3 linked regions of the Macaca fascicularis genome follow. The protein of the gene in region 3 purifies or fractionates together with the protein of the main gene of each other region. This does not show direct contact. Links are inferred from orthologs where the notes say so. Each region holds a gene or a part of one and is shown on either strand. Other genes may lie near its edges.

Evidence for each region.
Region 1: the proteins of DDX3X (region 3) and FUS purify together in Homo sapiens (affinity purification with mass spectrometry; 3 studies listed by BioGRID and IntAct, with this or other methods). This does not show direct contact. The link is inferred for Macaca fascicularis from reciprocal best matches to the Homo sapiens genes DDX3X and FUS.
Region 2: the proteins of DDX3X (region 3) and EIF3D fractionate together in Homo sapiens (co-fractionation; 3 studies listed by BioGRID and IntAct, with this or other methods). This does not show direct contact. The link is inferred for Macaca fascicularis from reciprocal best matches to the Homo sapiens genes DDX3X and EIF3D.

What each region holds. Positions count from the first base shown.
Region 1 is NC_088394.1:29,365,862-29,372,612, reverse strand, and holds the start of FUS (RNA-binding protein FUS), read right to left. Parts: upstream 4,111-6,751; 5' UTR 4,035-4,110; coding exon 4,022-4,034; intron 1,859-4,021; coding exon 1,834-1,858; intron 1,744-1,833; coding exon 1,574-1,743; intron 439-1,573; coding exon of another isoform or gene 436-438; coding exon 294-435; intron 90-293; coding exon 1-89. UniProt on the Homo sapiens protein: DNA/RNA-binding protein that plays a role in various cellular processes such as transcription regulation, RNA splicing, RNA transport, DNA repair and damage response. Binds to ssRNA containing the consensus sequence 5'-AGGUAA-3'.
Region 2 is NC_088384.1:15,145,484-15,152,134, reverse strand, and holds the end of EIF3D (eukaryotic translation initiation factor 3 subunit D), read right to left. Parts: intron 6,301-6,651; coding exon 6,170-6,300; intron 5,664-6,169; coding exon 5,578-5,663; intron 5,482-5,577; coding exon 5,352-5,481; intron 1,638-5,351; coding exon 1,495-1,637; intron 1,143-1,494; coding exon 859-1,142; intron 359-858; coding exon 345-358; 3' UTR 213-344; downstream 1-212. UniProt on the Homo sapiens protein: mRNA cap-binding component of the eukaryotic translation initiation factor 3 (eIF-3) complex, a complex required for several steps in the initiation of protein synthesis of a specialized repertoire of mRNAs.
Region 3 is NC_088395.1:41,346,663-41,353,313, reverse strand, and holds the end of DDX3X (ATP-dependent RNA helicase DDX3X), read right to left. Parts: intron 6,492-6,651; coding exon 6,347-6,491; intron 5,346-6,346; coding exon 5,164-5,345; intron 5,073-5,163; coding exon 4,955-5,072; intron 4,723-4,954; coding exon 4,569-4,722; intron 4,267-4,568; coding exon 4,127-4,266; intron 3,940-4,126; coding exon 3,860-3,939; 3' UTR 1,358-3,859; downstream 1-1,357. UniProt on the Homo sapiens protein: Multifunctional ATP-dependent RNA helicase. The ATPase activity can be stimulated by various ribo-and deoxynucleic acids indicative for a relaxed substrate specificity.

The sequences.
Region 1 (6,751 bases), on a different chromosome or scaffold from region 3:
TTTGCTGCTGTCCACCATAGCTAGGCTGCTGGCCGTAGCCCCCACTCGGGGGCTGCCCATAGCTGCTGGTCTGAGAACTGCTACCGTAACTAAGGAAAACAAACAAAAAACACAATCACAATCCCAGCATAGCCCCCCAATTTCCTTTTAGTGGATTCCATTCTCTGTACTCAACACAGGCTCCCCTACCCCAATTATACCTCTAAACTGCTCCTACTGCTGCTGGTCCCTTTATCATTCCTCATCAATTCACCCCTCTTTTCAAGCCTTCCCCGACATCGACACCACCGTACCTTCCCGAGGTGCTGCTGGGAGTTGGCTGCTGGCCATAGCCAGGGTAGGAGGACTGCTGCCCATAAGAAGATTGGGAGCTCTGGCTACTGCCATAGCCGCCAGTCGAGCCATATCCCTGGGGAGCTGACTGAGTTCCATAGCCTGCTACAAGAAAAAAGAAGTCACAAAAGCCACCAGGAAAAAGAAAATGTAAGAAATGTGTTAAAACATATACAACCTAATACCTATACTCAAAAAGTCAGCCTTTCAGAAGCTGTTCATAATCTTGCAACTCATAGTTACCCTCCTTTCAAAGCCCAAAGTTAATGCTCCAACTTCTATCCTCTCTAAGACAGTTCCAATTTAACCCCGCCAACCCCAACACCCTCTAATCCCAAGCCCAAGGATTCCTGTTAACAGCACTGTGATATGCAGCTGTGCATGCAGTTACGTACAGGACAACCACCTTTCTTAGTTACACTTCAGGACCTTGGGGCAATCCCACCTCCTTATGTATCACATGATTTCATACATTTGTTTCAAGCATAACCATTTTCTCCATTTAAGAATTGGCCTAAAACTGGTTCTCCCGTTAGAAAATATGCTCTTTCATGCTGAGATGGGAAATGAGAGTCATAAAAATTAAAAGCCAAAGAAAACAAATGTAAACAGAATCACAAACCAAAAAACATTTTTGTTTTTTGAGATGGGGCCGCAATACACTGCCCAGGCTGGAATGCAGTCGCTGTTCAGTCACTATCATAGCTCACTGCAGCCCCAAACTCCTGAACTCAAGGAATCCTCCTGCCTCAGACTCCTCAGTAGCTGGGACTACAGGTGTGCCACAATGCCCTGTAAAGGACTCAGATCCCAAAGAGTTTTAAGAATTATACACTCATTTAGGGAAAAGAAATATGGAAGAGTTTCAACACTTCAGTCCTGCTCAGGTTTAAGAAAAGGGACATTCAGGGCGTGATGGCTCACAACTGTAATCCCAGCACTTTGGGAGACTGACGCAGGTGGATCACAAGGTCAGGAGTTCTAGACCAGCCTATCGAACATGGTGAAACCCCATCTCTACTAAAAATACAAAAATCAGTAGGGCGTGGTAGCAGGTGCCTGTAATCGCAGCTACTCAGGAGGCTGAGGCAGGGGAATTGTTTGAACCCGGGAGGCGGATGTTGCAGTGAGCTGAGATAGCACCATTGCACTCCAGCCTGGGCAACAGGATGAGACTCCGTCTCCCAAAGAAAAAGAAAAAAAAGAAAAGCAATATTCAGAAAGAGCAGGAAGAGGTGACCTGCTGAGAAAGACTCACTGCTCTGGCTCTGGCCGTAAGAAGAATAGCTGCTCTGGCCATAGCCTGAAGTGTCCGTGGACTGGCTGTAACCGCTGTAACTCTGCTGTCCGTAGGGCTGACTGCTCTGCTGGGAATAGCCCTGCCCAGGCTGGGTGGGGTAGGCCCCATAGCTAGATGAAAGGAAAACCAGCGTGATCAGAAAACACAGCTTGACCACCCTTCCCCTCTACAAACTCTGGAAGCCCAAAAACAGCACTCACCTTTGGGTTGCTTGTTGGGTATAATCTGCAAAAAAAAAAAAATACAATCACATTATCTTCAGCCGCCACTCTGAAACAGTTGAATTAAAGCTAAATTCCTTAACTCAAGCACTGATGAATAAATAGGACCACACAGGCCAGGTGCGGTGGCCCACGCCTATAATCCCAGCACTTTGGGAGGCCGAGGTGGATGGATCACTTGGGGTCAGGAATTCCAACCAACATGAAGCCCCATCGCTAATAAAAATACAAAAAATTAGCCGGGTATGGTGGCGCACGCCTGTAATCCCAGCTATTTGGGAGGCTGAAGCAGAAGAATCGCTTGAACCCGTGAGACAGAGGTTGCAGATCGCGCCACTGCACTCCAGCGTGGGCGACAGAGCGAGACTCCGTCTCAAAAAAAAAAAAAAAAAAAAAAGCATCACGTTTCAATAAAGGGCATAAAATTCCCCCATTGAGACACTGGTTGAGAAGAGTAGCAAACTGGCCTATCAGCCAAGTGTTCTTACAAAAAAGAAAAAGTGAAGAAAATGCAAGTTTCTACAGAGTCCCAGAAGCCTTAACCGTTGGAAAAACCAAGGTCTTGGTGGACAGCCACAACTTTCTGCAAGACCAATTCATGTCAGTGATTGCTCTAAAACATCGCGCATTCGCTTCTTCCACTCTATAACAAAGCCATTATTGCCAGGAGTCAAAACAGACTAACTCGCCCAAAGTCGTAGAGCTACCAAGTAGCACAGGTCTGAATTCGAGCAGTGTTCAGATTGTGGCCTCTACTCTCTCAGCCCAGACCCACAGAAGAATGTCTCAAAAAAGGCCATTCTGCACTCTTTGACCAATTCCGGAGAAGAAGTGGCCTTTTTAGTGCAAAGCCAGAGAATCAAGAGCCCTTGGACCCCAAATGACAGAGATCATCCAAGTGCTCGCCTTAAGAGGCCAAAGTCAACAGGTACTCGAGTCCCCAGCCGTGGGGCTCCAGATGGTTCTGTTTTCTCATCTACCCTGCCTTCCCCTGGGCGAACCAAAAGCAACGAAAGCCCTTTTGAAACGCCCCACTTTAAATACACGAACAAGATCAACTCATCCTCCCAGCGCAGGAAACGCGGCGCTTCCCCCGCAGGAAAAGGGAAAGGACCAGGAGAGGGTGTGGCCTCGACGGCTGTTATTCTCCGTCCCAATCTCAGAAAAAAGAAATTTAGACCAGGCGTGGAAGCTCACGCCTGTAATCCCGACACTTTGGGAGGCCGAGGAGGGCGGATCACCTGAGGCCAGCAATTCGAGACGGGCCTGACCAACATGGTGAAACCCCGTCTCTACTAAAAAACACAAAGATTAGCCGGGCTGTGGTGGCAGGCGCCTGTAATCCCAACTACTAAGGAGGCTGAGGCAGGAGAATCACTTGAACCCAGGAGGCGGACATTGCAGCAAGCTGAGATCGCACCACTGCACTCCAGCCTGGGCGACAGAGGGAGATCTTGACTCAAAAAAAAAAAAAAATTGGGGCGGGAAAAACTCTCGGGCCAGGTCCCCGAGTCCGTTGGTGGAACCACGACCACCTCCTCCAAACCGTTAAGCCGGAGCGCGGCCCAGATACCGAGCCTCCGCCCCCAGCCGCGTGGCAACCGAGGCGGGAATGGAGCGGTCCCGCCCCTTCGCGAAAGACCACAGAGGAACAAGGCTCACACCGGACGCGCGCCGCCAAGTCTTCCGCGAAGGGTCTCGCGACAAAAAGCTGAACCGACACGAGGCGGGGAAGGGGTACCCGCGCCGCGAAGGGGGAGGGGCCCGCAGAGCGCGTGCGCGCCGCGAGTGCCCGGATGCAGCACTGCGACAAAGCGGGCCTGAGCGCGGGGCCGGGAGTTGGGGGAGGCGAGGCCACGGAAACCGGGCATTTTCCACCCTCACCTGATGCTTCAAACCCCTAAGAAGCGTCCCTCCCAACGACCACCCCAAGCAAACGGACTGCGAAGAGAAGACTTGCCGCCCCGCGCGCGAGGGCCAGAGGAGCGAAACAAAATGGCGACACCAGCCTCCTCCAGTTACCCCTCTCCGCGGTTTCCCGCCACAGGGGCACGAAAGAATCCCACACAGGATCGCCACCCCGGTCCCACCTAAAATGAAAAGCCTAGGTGGGAGGCCTCGGCCCGGTGCGCCGCCGCCGCCGCCGCCGCCTCGCGCCCTTACCTACCGTTTGAGGCCATGTCGGCGCACGCGCGCACAGCCAAGCAAGCAACAAGATTCCAACAACGCAGAGCACCGACGCCTGGAGGACTGAGCAGCCCCGCCTCCTGCGTCGAAGCTTAAGTACGTCCCGCCGCCTACGCACCGCGCAGGCGCGCACCAAACGCGGAAGAGCAGGGGGAGGAAGGAAAGCGCTCCGCCCCCTTCCTAGCGCAGGTAGAGGTTCCGAGCATGCAGATGGGAAACGAGCTAACTAGAATCATGCAAATACTATACATAATGATATTTTTTGGGGAAGAACCCCTCTCTCCTCGGCAGGACTAGCCCACGATCTAACTCCACCCCCATGAAGGCACAGTGGTACGGCCTGAGTGCCCGCTGGGGGCGGGGCGGGGCGGGGCCGGGCGGCTGGGGACAAAACTGGAGTCACCGCCGGGAGTCGCGGGGTGGAACCGACATTCCTGTGGCCGGGCCTCTTCGCTGGGCCCCGCTTTCACCCAGGACGGCGAGCTCCTGCCCTCCGCCCTCTTGCCGCTGTATGGGGCGCCTTGTCCCCGCGGCTCCAGCCTCCCTCGTCGTCAGCACACTGGCCCTGCGCCCTGGTGTTGACTTCGTCGTCTTTCGGGGTTGCCTTGCTTTTCGGCCTTTCTGAGGTTCGGGAATTATGACGTTTGACCTGAAAGACAGCAGGGATTTCGGCCGGAACCCCTGAGCGCCGAGCTGGTCCAGCACTGGGCTCTCACCCGGACCCTCGCGGCTTTGCCCCTGGGGAGCCGCGGGGCGGAGCAGTCCAGGCCATCCTTGGGACAAGAGAGGGTTGGCCTCAGATGAAGGGCCCCCCAGCCTTTGCTCAGGGACCTCCTTTTTATTTTTCTGAAGCCCTACCAGGGAACCAGTGGCGATCCCAGAAATAAAACGTGTACAAGGCTTAAGTGGTTTCAAAATGCACAGATAATTTCCTTCTCATCAGTCTTACGAAGGAGGTAAACATATCTCCGTTCTGTACATAAGAAAAGTGAGACTCAGAGACCCAAGTAATTGTGCCTGATTACAGGGCAGCTAGGAGGAGTCGTGATTCGAATCCAGGTCTTGTAACTGCAAAACCTCTTTTTGGTGGCATGAATGCTAGAGTGTTTGGTTGCCTTTCCACTTCCTGTGAGAGCAAAAGCAGAAAGAAAAATTCAAATTAACTTGCAACTTGCACTTTCATCAGCCTTGCCTGGAGAAGGCAATTTGAAACTACTGAACAAAGCAAGACAAAAGACGTTAATTCCTGATACATACGCATGCAGGTTTTCCTTCCCAACTTAACTTTCAGCGGGATTCCGGAAGGTCTTTTGAGGGTTGGACCTTTCCTTCTAGAGAAACAATGAGGGCCATGTCCTGGGCCCCCCCCCCCCAGCAAATTAAGCCCCACTAAGCCCTTGACTTCAGCCCTGATGGCCCTGAATACGCCAATATCCACCCCACCCGCGTTGGAAGGAGAGTTCAACTCTCCAGTGAGAGCAAAAGAAAGGAAGTCCACCCTCATTCATGCATTAAGTCACAAATATTTATTTAGCACCTAGTATGTTCCAGGCACTGTTCTGGGCACTGGGTATGCATTAGTGTACAAAGCAGATGAAGCTAACATTTAATAATAAAGCTGACCGGGCGCGGTGGCTCACACCTGTAATCCCAGCACTTTGGGAGGCCGAGGCGGGCAGATCATGAGGTCAGGAGTTTGAGACCAACCTGGCCAATGTGGTGAAACTCCGTCTCTACTAAAAACACAAAAATTAGCCGGGCATGGTGGCACGCACCTGTAATCGCAACTACTCATGAGGATGAGATGGGAGAATCGCTTTGAGACGGGAGAATCGCTTAAACCCAGTAGGCGGAGGTTGCAGTGAGCCAAGACGTGCCATTGCACTCCAGCCTGGGCGACAGAGGAAGACTCTGTCTCAAAACAAATAATAATAATAAAGCTGACATTTAATAATGATATACATTGTGCTCATCTATAATATATGATAGCTAACACTTTAACAAGACTTACTGTCAGGCACTGTTCTGACTGCTTTGAGTAAATTCTTGATTTTATTTTTCACAACAAAAGGCTGATGTGAGGATGACATTTTATCTTTTTTTTTTTTTTTTGAGCTATGGTCTCTCTCTGTCACCCAGGCTGAAGTGCAGTGGCACCATCTCAGCTCACTGCAACCTCCACCTCCCGTGTTCAAGCGATTCTACCACCTCAATCTCCTGAGTAGCTGGGAGTACAGGTGTGCGCCACCACACCCGGCTAATGTTTGTATTTTTAGTAGAGACGGGGTTTCACCATGTTGGCCAGGCTGGTCTCGAACTCCTGGCATCAGAGGATCCACCCGCTTCGACCTCCCAAATTGCTGGAATTACAGGTGTGAGCCACCTCGCCCTGCTAAGGATGACATTTTACAGATGAGGAAATAAGCATAGAAAGATAGAAAGCTGACTGGGCACAGTGGCTCACCCCTGTAATCCCAGCACTTTGGGAGGCCAAGGAGGGCAGATCACAAGGTCAGGAATTTGAGACCAGCCTGACCAACATGGTGAAACCCTGTCTCTACTAAAAATACAAACATTACCCGGGCGTGGTGGCAGGCACCTGTAGTCCCAGCTACTCGGGAGGCTGAAGCAGGAGAATTGTTTGAACCCGGGAGGCGGAGGTTGCAGTGAGCTGAGATCACGTCACTGCACCCCAGCATGGGTGACAGAG
Region 2 (6,651 bases), on a different chromosome or scaffold from region 3:
GCAGTCCAGCTCCTCCCAGTGAACTCTCCAAAAGCAACAGTTGGCTCTTCACACAGCCAGCAGGCACTCATGCTTGTGGAAATGAACTTCTTACAACAAATGATGACACCCACATTCTGAATTCCACATAGAAATTGCTGAATCTCATCCCCACTCTGCCAGGAATCTTTGAAAAAAGGGCTGTAAATCGTTAATGCAGATAGACGATGAAGGAGAGACTAAACAGACGTATATTTTATTTCATCTGCTAAACGTCAGAGAGCAAGTTAGATACACATTCCACTAAGCGTCAAAGGCCCTCATAGTCTCGGTGGAAGGATAAACTCCAGCTCCACATCACTGGTTTAAGTTTCTTCCTCTGAAAGACACAAAAAATGTAAGAGAAATAAGCCAGGTTGTGTGATATGGCGTTCACTTTCCTTTCTGAACCTCTGCTGGACTGCGTGTGAGTTTTCAACACTTCCATTCAGAAGTGAAGCCTTTTAGATCCTCACAGGGCCGGGCAGGTACTTCCTTCAGTCACCAGCTGGTGGAGCTGGAGAGACAACTTTCAAGCTATTTAACCCAGAGCGCAGCTTTTCCCTCTAGACCATGGGCTTCCATCCAGGACTTCCCTCATCTTTCTCTACCTCTGCCACAGTCCAGCCACTTCTCTAAAACACCGCTATCCTCCCCAACCACTTGATGTGATCTAAAGGCTCTGGAAGAAGCTCTTGGAGGCAAAGTGAATGCTGCTTCATACTTAAGTCTCGGAATTCTCAAAGTTTTATCAAGGTTAAAGATCACAATGGCTATAGAACTTGCTCCCGTGCTAGCCCACAGATCACTCTAGACCTCAGAAAGTGGGTTGCTACACACCTTCTTCTTCCTCTTCTTCCTCCTCCTCTTCCTCCTCGTCTTCATCAGAGCTGAAGGTGCCATCAGGGAGGCTGTAGACACGGATGACCTGCTTGTTGGGGTCCTTGAGGATGAGGTATTTGCCCTCCTCCAGCTTCATGCAGATGTCGATGACGCAGCGTAGAATGCCCCAGGCATTCTCCACGCTCAGGTTGATCTGGCTGGCAAATTCATTAGGCTTGAACTGCTGGGTGCCCAGGATGACGTGGCGTGAGGAGTCTTTCACGTGGTACCGAGACACATAACTAACAGAGGAAGGGATATCAGTGGTCAGAGCAGGTGGCACAGAGACAGCAACACTTGGCATCAAATGTCCATTAAATGGTGATACCTGGTCCACTGCTATTTTCAAGGGAAAGGGAAAACTCCGTCTTCTGAGTGTTCAGTTCTGGATTTCACTGACATCATTGCCCTAGTTCAGGACTCCATTCAGCATGCCTGCTGTTTGGCATCTGTCTCCTAACTGATCCCTCCATCTCTACCCCATCCCTGGATTTATCTCTGCCAGTCCAGTACACGGGGAGGGGAGGGCCAACCTCCCTACCCAGACCCTTCCTTTCACAAGATCAGCTGCCAGTTCCCGCACAGGCCTCTCACCCAAGCTTGAGGTATTCAGATCCAGCCAGCAAAGCACAGCAGGTCCACCGGGCCAACTTGTAGCTGTTGTTCTTCAGCTCCGTGGCAATGACGGCCCCTCGCTGAGAGTCCAGCTTCTGACGCCAGTCAACGCCGTTACAGTGCTGCAGGAGAGCCCCGTTAGAGAAGCAGAAGCAAGCTCTAAATGCCCAAGGTGCTGGGACCTCCTCTGGCAGAGAAGGAACTCCCCAGTCTGCCTGCTTAGAAAGTGGGTAGGTATGCACTAAATCTTACCATTTAAGAGACAAAGACACGCTCCCTTCCCTTGCACAGCCTGCCGCAAGCTGGCACTCAATGACTTACAGCTCTTCTCTTCTAAAAGCTCACCTAGCCAGGGAATGATGGACATGGACACACACACACACACACTTTAAACAGCAGAGGCAAGTGTCTACTGTGTGTTGCATGGTAAGGAAGGGCTTCACAGAGGATGTGTAACAGTGAGCCAAGTGGAGAATATTGGCACAAGTGCAGGTACAGACAGGAGCTCCTGATCTGAGAGGCATGGTGGGATAGGAAAGACAGGCGGAGTTGGCCTTAGATGGGGGTGGAAGCCTGCAGTGGGGGCAAAGCTGAGTCTGACATTTTACATAAATGCACACAGCAGAAAAGGACCCCAAAGAGATCCTCTTTTCTACCCATATCATTTACAGACGTGGGAAGATGGACCCAGAGTGAAATGACTGGTCAAAGGTCACATGACAGAGGTTCCCAAACTTTCTTGGTTCATGGCAACCACAGGGCAAAAGAAATACTCAGGAATTCCTTTTTTTTTTTTTTTTTTTTTTTTTGAGAAGGAGTTTTGCTCTTGTCGCCCAGGCTGGAGTGCAGTGGCGTGATCTCAGCTCACCACAACCTCCACCTCCCAGGTTCAAGCGATTCTCCTACCTCAGCCTCCCTAGTAGCTGGGATTACAGGTGCCCGCCACCACGTCCAGCTAATTTTTATATTTTTGGTAGAGGGGGGGTTTCGCCACGTTGGCCAGGCTGCTCTCGAACTCCTGACCTCAGGTGATCCGCCCGCTTCGGCCTCCCAGAGTGCTAGGATTACAGGCGTGAGCCACAGTGGCTGGCCAGTAATTCCTTTTATTTAGTTAGGTTCAAACCATGTAGTAGTATTCCGACAAGACGTCTCTGGTGTTTCCCTAAAAAATTTAAGCTATCCTGCAGCACCGCTGTGCGTTTGCTTTTTTTGAGATGGGGGGTCTCACTATGTTGCCCAAGCTGGTGAGTTCAGGATTTGAACTCCTGAACCCAAGCGATCCTCCCATCTCAGCCTCCTGAGCAGCTGGGATTACAGGTGCGCACTACTGTGTGCAGCTTGCTGGGGCACGTTAGAGTCCTTCTCCCAGTCTGCACTGCTGATGAAGCTGTGTATTGGCTTGGTATCAGCGAAATCCAGGACTGAGTCAGAAGACAGCAAAGCCTTCTATTTTGCTAATAGCAAATGTAAAAAAGGAGTTGGAGATATTAGAGGCTCAGAGCTTAGGTGGGAGAAAGACAATGCTGAGGGACAGCTGGCCCAGAGGCAATGACAGGACGGGGGGCACACGGAAGGGGAAGGTGTTTTAGCAGAAAAACAATGGGAAGTGTAATAAATCAGAGTAGATTTGAGAAATCATTTTCAAAGAGTTCATGGTTGAGGCCTGGGGTGGGCAGAATTCTAAGATGATCCCCAGTGACCCTTGCCCTTGCAGAGTCTCCTCCCCTTGACTGCAGGCAGAACCTATGGCTAGGATCAAATATCACCCCCATGATTATGCTACCTTGTATGTCAAAAGGGATTTTGCAGATGTAAGGCCCCCAATCAGTTAACCTTAATATACACTACCTGGGGCTGGGCCTCACCCAACCATATGAGTCTCTCAAATCTAGGTGTAGAGATCAGAGACAGAGGAAGTCAGAAATTTGAAGCACGAGAAGGATCTGCTGTGCTGTTGCTAGCTTGGAGATGGAGGGGGCCATGTGACAAGGAATGCAGGTGGCCTCTAGGAGCTGAGAGAGGCTCCCAGCTGACAGCTGGCAGGGGGATGGGGGCCTCTGTCATCTAACTGCAGGGAAATGAACTCTACCCACAATGAAAATGGGCTTGGAAATGGCTTTCAGAACCTCCAGATGAGAACTCAGTCCTGTTTCTATTGACACTGTGATTTCTGCCTTGTTTGGATTTGTGTCCCACCCAAATCACATGTCAAGTGGTAAACCCCAATGTTGGAGGAGGAGCATGGTGGGAGGTGACTGGATCATGGGGGTGGATTTTCCCCTTTGGCGCTATTCTTGTGATACAGAGTTCTCAAGAGATCTGGTTGTTTAAAAGTGTATAGCAACTTCCCCCTCTCTTTCTCCTACTCTGGCCATGTCAGATGTGCCTGCTTCTCCTTTGCTTTCTGCCACCATTGCAAGTTTCCTGAGGCCTCCTCAGTCACGCTTCCTGTAGAGCCTGCAGAACTGTGAGCCAATTATATCTCCCTTCTTTAGAAATTACCCACTCTCAGGCATTTCTTTGCAGCAGTGCGAGAATGGACCAATACAAAGACCAAGCACACAGCACTGGACTTCTAACCTACAAAAATGTGAGCTAATAAATCAATATTGTTAGGCTGGGTGCCATGGCTCATGCCTGTAATCCCAGCACTTTGGGAGGCCGAGGCAGGCGGATCGCCTGAGGCCAGGAGTTCGAGACCAGTCTAACCAACATGGAGAAACCCCGTCTCTACTAAAAATACAAAATTAGCTGGGCGTGGTGGCGCATGCCTGTAATCCCAGCTACTCGGGAGGCTGAGGCAGGAGAATCGTTTGAACCCTGGAGGCAGAGGTTGCGGTGAGCCGAGATCGCCCCATTGCACTCCAGCCTAGACAACAAGAGCAAAACTCTGTCTCAAAAAATAAAAAATAAAAAATAAAAATAAAATATATTAATCGGTATTGTTAAGTCACTAAGTTTCTGTTAATTTGTTATGGAGCAAAAGATAACTAACACAAAGTTGTATAATAAAGAAGTACGTGTGGCGAAGAGAGCTGTCTAGGTGACTCCATGGGTCAAAAAGGAGGGGAGCCAGCAAAGACAACATGTGAAGGGAACAGGGAAATGGGTGAGACCAGAGTAACGCGGTAACACAGAGGGCAAAGCAACACAGGTGCAACGACCCCGAATGCTTTGGGGAGCTCACCGGGAAAAGTCCAAGAAAAGGCCACTGGCCCCAGAGGGAGGTCACAGCAAGCCTCCCAGTGTGCTCCTCCAACAGGTGATGTGGGTGGGGGTGGGGTGGAAATGGAAAGTGGAGGAAAAGTGAAGGAAGCATGTTTCTTTCAAGGTGCCTCTGAAGCATCAATTCCAAGCCAGATCGTAGAATCCATGAGTTCAGGAAATGAGGAATTGGAAAAAAGGTATGAAAAGACTGAAGGCAGTGGCTCAGTCAATGAAAGAAGAGGTCAAAAAGAAGAGCGGCCAGACTTACAGGAAACTGCCAACCCAGATAATAAGGAGAGGAAAAAATCAGATGCTCAGAGAGCAGAAGCCAACAGGAGGCCACAATGGAACAGAGATGAAGTACTGGAAGAAGGGAGTTAAATGGTTCCTGTGTAAATAATAAGCAGAAAAGTCCTTAACACTTAACATAGTTCTACACACACAGTCATGCTCTTTCTCGGCAAGGAACTAAGCAGAGGAAAAAACTCACAAGACAAAAAAAATCCAGGTAGCTCTATAAGTAATGAAAAGGGATAAGAAACAGTTTACACAACCTAGCCTGCGTAAACAGGCACTGTAGGGAACAGAGACATGGTGTCACCAGGAGGGTGATGGAGATGGCGGCTCACCCTGGAATCCCACTCATTCAGTGTCTTGATGTTGATGAAGGACACTTCCCCGTTGGCTCCAGTCATGACGCCATCGTGCTCACAACGGACAATAAGGTCAATATCGTCTCCAAGCTTCCACCTGCGGTAACTGCAGCGAAGGAGAAACTCACGTGGTCACTGGGGATTCGACAGAGTGGGGCCCATGCTCCAATCTGGTCACAATACCCACCAGAGAGTGACCTACCGGTAAGCAACAGAGGCGATTTCATTCTTATCCATGTCGTCCTCTACAAACGGGTTTGGGTTGGGGAAGTTGTATCTTTCCTTCCCCTGCAAAAACAAAGGTGTCACAAGACAGAGCTAACTTTGTTGACAAGGCCAAGGCCAATCAGTCAGACCCAGCACCTCTGCTTAGTTGCAGCTCTGGCCAGGTTCCTGGGGCCCTTGATGGGGCTGTGAGCTCGCTGCCTGTTTTATGCCTACTTGACCCCTCCTAACTGTTAGCACCTGATGAATGAAAACGAGTTCGTAACCATGCCCATCTCTACTTCATTTTTTGCCATGGCACAAATCACCATTTGATGTAAATCAATTTATTATTTATGGTTCACTATGTTTTCTCCTCCACTATCATGAAATTCTGTAAGGACAGGAACTTTGTTCAAAGTCAGACAGCCTGACCCCCAAGCCCAGGCATGTAACTCCCCTGCTAAAGGTGGGGACTGGGTCTGTCCTGCTCAGTCCCACAACCCAAGAGCCTAGCAAAAAGCAGATGCTCCACAAGTAGCAGCTGGTTAAATAAGAATGAATCAACGCCCAGAGACTTGTTTCCTCACCATTCTCAAGCACTGCTGGGAGAAATTGTGGTTGATGTAGGTTGCCTCCATGGCCAGGTTGCGGGGTGAATTGAAGGAATTACCTTCATCTTGAGGGGGCTCATTGGCAGTCTCACTCACTGTCAGGAGGTCTGCAAAAGCGTGGCATGGTCACTCACCATGCAACAAAGAGTCACTGACAATGTGCGCAGCGCTGTGGGGAGATGTGGAGAGGCAAACACCACAGGTCCTTCCTTCAAAGAACCGCCCTCTCCTAAAGTGGGTCTCCCTGGTGTGGAACACATAAGCGGGGGAGTGGGGCAGCTGCTCCAGGATAACTCAAGATAGTACCCGACATTCAGTTCAATCACACAGGAAGGCAGCTGTCCCTTTTCAATCGTCTGGATTCCTCACGAGAATGATTTTGTAAGCTTTTTAAGACCGCAGGCTTCAGGCTCAGAATATAAACTCTTTTTTTTTTTTTCTTTGAGATGGAGTTTTGC
Region 3 (6,651 bases):
CTCTGTATTCTGGGAGTAGTGAAGCCCTATCAACAATGTATTAAGTCACTGAACTCCAAAGAGCAAGCCTGTGGCCATTCAAGCAGGTCACTTAGAGCATAGGAGCAAGGGAAACATTTTAAGCATGAAGGTTAGACATAGCTCCTATAAAGCCATTTTAAAAATCTTGAAATTCAGCCAAGAATCCAGGAAACACAAACAGTGCACAGGAGTGACAACTGCATTTAAGTGTAATTAAACCAGATTAATGTAGTATATAAACGTACTGAATTTGTCACCATAATCCTAACCATGCTAGACTAGAAATAATCTCAAATTCTGGCAGTTCCCCCAAGCTGATTGTCATGTTCACTCCTCATCATTCACATGAAGGGGAACTTGAACTCTTCTTTAGCATCCAACTTCACGAGTCATTTTCAGCCATTGACTATTCAATCTAGCCATCCTAAACCTTTCCATGTTTGACTAAATTGAGACCGAAGTATGATCATCTTTTCTATCTTCAAAATACACATGGCCATGTTTCAAAATTCTGCTCCAAAAACTTAGGCTTGAGTTCATGACTGGACAAAGGTTAACTATCCAGAACTGTACTTCCTTACAGTGCAAAAAATTCTTAAATCATACTGCAAACCTTCAACTACAGTGAAACAAAAGCTGAATACACATATTCCTTAGAGGTTGAAACATACCAAACTGCTAGTACGACAACTAATCAAACACCTATGCACTTGAGGTAGCAGCCTGTTGCAGCAGTGTGTATGGTAAGCATAGATGTCTATTACCTGTTTTTTTTCTTTTCTTTGTAGAGGTAAGGTCTTGCTATGTTGCCCAGGCTGGACTTTAACTCCTGGGCTCAAGGAATCCTCCTGCCCCTCAGGTTCCGAGTAAGCTAGCACTCACCATAGGACCATGCAATCATCACACCTGGCCCAAATACATTCTTGATTCCTTCCCTAAGTACATACTTACCATTACTTGGACTACTGACACACTTGACTTTTATCCTGCTCATTCTTCCACTGTTCAACCATCCTTCATATCGGATACTTCAAAGAACGGTGAGACTCTCACCCATGTAAAATTGTTGGGAAGTATAAGCCAATTTCTAGTACATGCTGTACATCAGTAAGGGCCTTTTAGATTTCCATCTATTACAAAAATTCTGTTTCACTGTATTTCAAGCTAACATCTTCATCTTTCATTGCAAATACTTATGAGAGTCATTCTGTATCCAAGAGGCATCTCAAAAAACAGCACTGGATGACAACCAAAAAAATAACATTTTACAATTTTTCAGGCAAGAGCACTTTATTTTCACCTCTGAAAATAAACCACAATTGACAACAACAAAGGAGACTGTGCAGTTCAACTTTTTATTTTAATAAAATCAGAATATGCACAGCACATGCAGTGCTAGCATCTAAACTAATACAATAAGCAATTACTAAAGCTACAGTGACTTGAGGTTCAATCTTTACATTCAGCAAGTTTAAATCCTTACATGATTTTTGAAACCTTATTAACTGAAAATATTGCTTGCTGATAAAACTTGCTCAAATGCTATTGCTGAATGTACAAGTCACTGATTATGCCAATACAACAAAGATAACCACATGTTTGAGGATTGCAATGTGCCAGACATTCACTGAAAAAAAAAACAAACAAAAAAAAACACACAACTAAACAAAATTCACACAACAAACATCTGAGATTCTGGACACTTCACATCAGTGTTTTGAAGTGTTTCATTAATATCTTAAGACAAGTGTATCAAAACCTTGGCATGATTTAATTTCAAGTCGCCAATTTTGTTTTTACTAACATCAGAAAGTTATGGCTACACTGCCAACGCCGGGTCTGCTTAATTTGACTTAAGAGTTTAATATGACTTAACATTAAAAGCTCACACTACCCCGAAATATATAATTTCACGCATACGGTGACATTCAACATTCAAGTGCCAGTGTTTTTGTACTGTCTTTTGGTCAAGTTTCTTTAAACTTTCAAAGAATCACTTTTAGGCTTACAAAAATAAATATTTGTCAAAATGTTCAATAAATATTACATAAAACTAGCAGCAAAAAGTATCTAGAAATCTGTCGTGTGCAAATAGTTTTCTTCTCAACTATCATTCCCATGGTCCCAAATAAATTTTAGAATCTAGTCCCATCCCCTTCCTAGACAAGCTGCGTTCAACAATCTCCAAGAGACAAAGTAAGATTGGAAGTTTAAGGACACGCACACAAGACATATATATAAAATTCTCTGAATGTGCAATAAAAGAAGTACTTTGTAAAAAGTTATGGGCAAAATGTACAAGGGCCTAAACCTAGACTAATTGAAATAGCACCATAACAAATGACCTCAATACTGTCAAGTGCACCTACTTAATAAAAGTTTTAGAACAAGGCACAATACACTTGAAAATCTATTGCACTTTAGGAAATTTTTGCCGTCTTCCTATGCCACTGTAAAAAGATGGAGCGTTTTCATCACTGCATTCTGGCCACAAAATTAGCACAGAATTCAAAGTGGCAGAGGCATTTTAGTGGTGGACAATGCTCATCTTTGGCCAGATTTAGCATAAACAGACTATAAATACAATGGAAACCTATGCAACTAAAACTGACTAAAACTGCACTGTAGAGCAGAATTGACACCTTGTGCAGTTATGTACATATTTCCAACCTGTGTGATCTCAAAGATTTCAGTTTGTTACTCTTCTGGAGCCATTTTACAAAGTCTATAGTAAGCCAGTTTAACATCTCAACGCAGCTTGAACAGAGTAATGTGAATCGGCATTTAAAATAAAGCCTGCTGCATTTAATTCTTCCTGTTCATACCCTCTTGACCAAAAAACATCAACACTAGCATGCGTTATTAGACCAAAAATCATCCAAGGCCCTAATGAGGGCTGGTCATTGCTGTGGTCAGCCATTCTACCATTTCAATTTCATTTATGGCAGGCATTTAAAAAGTCTAAGTAGATGAATTCTCCTAAAAACCTATTTCAAGTTATCAGACCTTTAAACTTTCCCTGTAATAGTATGCCCACATTTGGCTAGCTCATTAATTAATGATCTGCCTAAACGTTGAAAGAGGAATTGCTGTATTTACTTGCATTAACTTTGAAAACAGTGCTTTGAATGTATGCATGTATTCATACATCACCTTATCATGACTGGAATGGCTTAAAGACTATCAGGTTCTAAATACCTATCCAGGATAGAGTGAGCAAATCAGAACTTTAACTTAATACAGTTTGCCACATTAGAAACTAATTCCATTAATATGCTTCAAGACATTTGTTGTTTGTTTTCCCCCAATCTGCAAGTATCAAAAAGCCCTAATGCAGGCTACCGCATAAGTTTTTCCTTATATTATTTATGGATGAATCGATGATTCCTGTTAAGTTGTATCACACCTGTGTGCCAAGGTTTGATTTTAGCCCAAGTTCAGTAAATTTATTTTGTCAAAACAATTGATATCTTGAGCATTACTGAGCCAACAGGACATCAAAATAAAAAGTTGTCTAAAGTTAAAGGCACAGTACATTAACAAACAAATGATCCTCAGTCACAAAATTATAAATGCAGTTTGGGATGGGGATAGGCGGGAGGGGAGTTAATCCAAACTACAGCAATGAAGTCTTCAAACCACCTTCTGAACAGGGCTGCTGATTGTTACTTTCATTTCTTCTTGTGACCTTGAGCTCCCTTAAAAAAAAAATTTCAGTGGAGAATCACAGCTGGTAATGTACTGCGAGTTCTTGAAGCTACACAAGGTATAGTCTGGCTAAGTTACATGTGGTTTCCATATTAGCTTGTTTGGCAGGGTGACCTACTGCAAAGCAGGCTCAGTTACCCCACCAGTCAACCCCCTGGGAGTTATAATTTCCTCCATATCCATCACTGTTGTAAAAGCCTCCATAGCCACCTAATGAGAGATTTAAAAGAGAGATAAATTAATGAAGTTATCCATCATTAAATACAATCCTTCCCTTAAGTACTTTGCCATCAAGTTTCTATAGTGCTGATCTTAAATGGTTTAATTAGACTTTGAAAAAGATGACTAAACGGAAAAAAACCCTTCCCAAAGCTATGAAGTTACAGATTAACACTACCTCCACCGAATCCTCTGCTGCTACCGTGGCCACCTCCGCCACTGCGGCTGCTGCTTGCACGGCTGCTGCTGAAGCTGGAACTGCTGGCACCACTACTTTGTCGGTAGTCTCTGGCACCAAACCCTCCACTAAATCTGCTACTATAAGAAAAAATTTATGTTGGTTCACATGAAGATGAAATTCCACTGAAGTAACCTAACTCTTACATACTTCCCAATGACCAATTTCTATTTTTCCATTCAAACAATTCCCCATCCAGCCATATTTTCCCCAACATTAGAATGGAGTGTCATCCATTCTAATACAACCCCTTACCAAAGAATCTAGAAAGCCTAAGATGATTCAGCTTTTTAAATACTGTGAAGTTAACGCTGGACATCATGCATGCAGAGGAAACACTAGAAACTGTAAGTCAACACCTATTACACCATATATACCTCACCTCTTAGAACGTCCACGACTGCTACCCTTGTAGTGGTGTTCATAAGCCATGTTTTCTAACCAAGATGGCACTTCTTGTTTAGCTTCAACAAGAAGATCCAACAAATCCTTAGTAATATTTATGTTCCTCTCGTTAAAGAATGAGGTTGCCAGGCCTAAAAGAGTCCCCAAAAAACTATATAAACAAACGTCTTCCACAAAGTAACTTGCTACCCTACTTTCCTATGCAGAAATATTTAAAATATTACAATCTATTATTTAAACAAGTGCTTTGAGCAAAATCTTTTGTCACTTTCATTGTTAAAAATGTATTTTAGATCCTAGCAAGTTCTTTGCTGCACGCATCACAGCTAAAAACATGAAATCATCAAGTAATCAAATACTTACCAAGGTTTCCTACACGTCCTGTACGACCAATGCGATGTACGTATTCTTCAATATCACTTGGCAAGTCAAAATTGATAACATGTTTCACATTTGAAATGTCCAGTCCTCTTGCTGCTACCTGAAAAATAACTTATATGAGATATGGCCCACTTAAAAGAAAAATACTTGAACATGCTCAACTTGAATCAAAGAAGGATGTTTATACATACTGCTGTAGCCACTAGAATTGGGCTTTTTCCTGAGCGGAACTGGTGAAGGGCCTCTTCCCTATCCCTCTGAGAACGGTCTCCATGGATACTGGTACATGCGTATCCTTCATGGTATAAGAAATCCTCCAGAGAATCTGCACCCTTTTTGGTCTCCACAAACACTAAGGTCAGTGAATCCTTGCCTGTCGTTGAAAAATTATAGGTTTTTGTCACTAATATGGCTTAGTTCTCTTTGCACTTATGTATGCACAATTTTCATGTGTCAATTAAAATACATATCTTCTTAAAAATGGGCTTTTAACAGCATGTTTTGAATTGAGGAGGAAAAGTAATAAAGGTAATCCAAATACATTTAAGAGATGGGGGGGTCTCACTATATTGCCCAGGCTGGGAGTAAACTGGCCATTCACAGGTGCAATCATGGCATACTACAGCCTCAGCCTGCCAAGTAGCTGGGACTACATGCACGTACCACTGCACCCAGCCCAAATGGATCACCACCAGAGCAATGAAAATTATTCATAATTTTAGATGGGTGCAGTGGTACGTGCCTGTAGGCCCAGCTACTCTGGAGGCTGAGGCAGGAGGATTGTCTAAGTCTACGAGTTCTGGGCTGTAGTGTACTATGCCTATCAGGTGTCCACACTAAGTTTGGGATCAACATGATAACCTCCCGGAAGCAAGGGAGCACCAGGTTGTCTAAGGAGGGGTGAACCAGCCCAGGTCAGAAACAGAGCAGGTCAAATACTCCCATGCTGATCAGTAATGGGATCGCGCCTGTGAATAACCCCTGCACTCCAGCCTGGGCAACACAGAGAAACCCCCATCTCTAAAAAAAAAATAAAAAATTCATAATGCTGGCTGGGCGCGGTGGCTCACGAGGCCTGTAATCCCAGCACTTTGGGAGCCCGAGACGGGCAGATCACGAGGTCAGGAGATCGAGACCATCCTGGCTAACATGGTGAAACCCCATCTCTACTAAAAATACAAAAAATTAGCCGGGTGCGGTAGCGGGCGCCTGTAGTCCCAGCTACATGGGAGCATGGGAGGCTGAAGCAGGAGAATGGCGTGAACCCAGGAGGCGGAGCTTGCAGTGAGCCGAGATTGCACCACTGCACTCCAGCCTGGGCAACAGAGCGAGACTCTGTCTCAAAAAAAAAAAAAAAAAAAATCAAAATGTTACCTGTTGCATTTAGGAGGTCAAGCAGAAATGACCGTTTGTCTGATTCTTCCACCCAAACTACTTTCTGTGTGATGTTTTCAGAGGTAGAGCCAACTCTTCCTACAGCCAAGAAGATATATTCATCTAAGAAATCACGAGCCAGCATCTGAAAGAAAAAAAATATTTTTATTACCTGAGATAAACAAATTTCTAAATAAATAAAATTTGCGGGGCCAGGCACGGTGGCTCAAGCCTGTAATCCCAGCACTTTGGGAGGCTGAGACAGGCAGATCACGAGGTCAGGAGATCGAGACCATCCTGGCTAA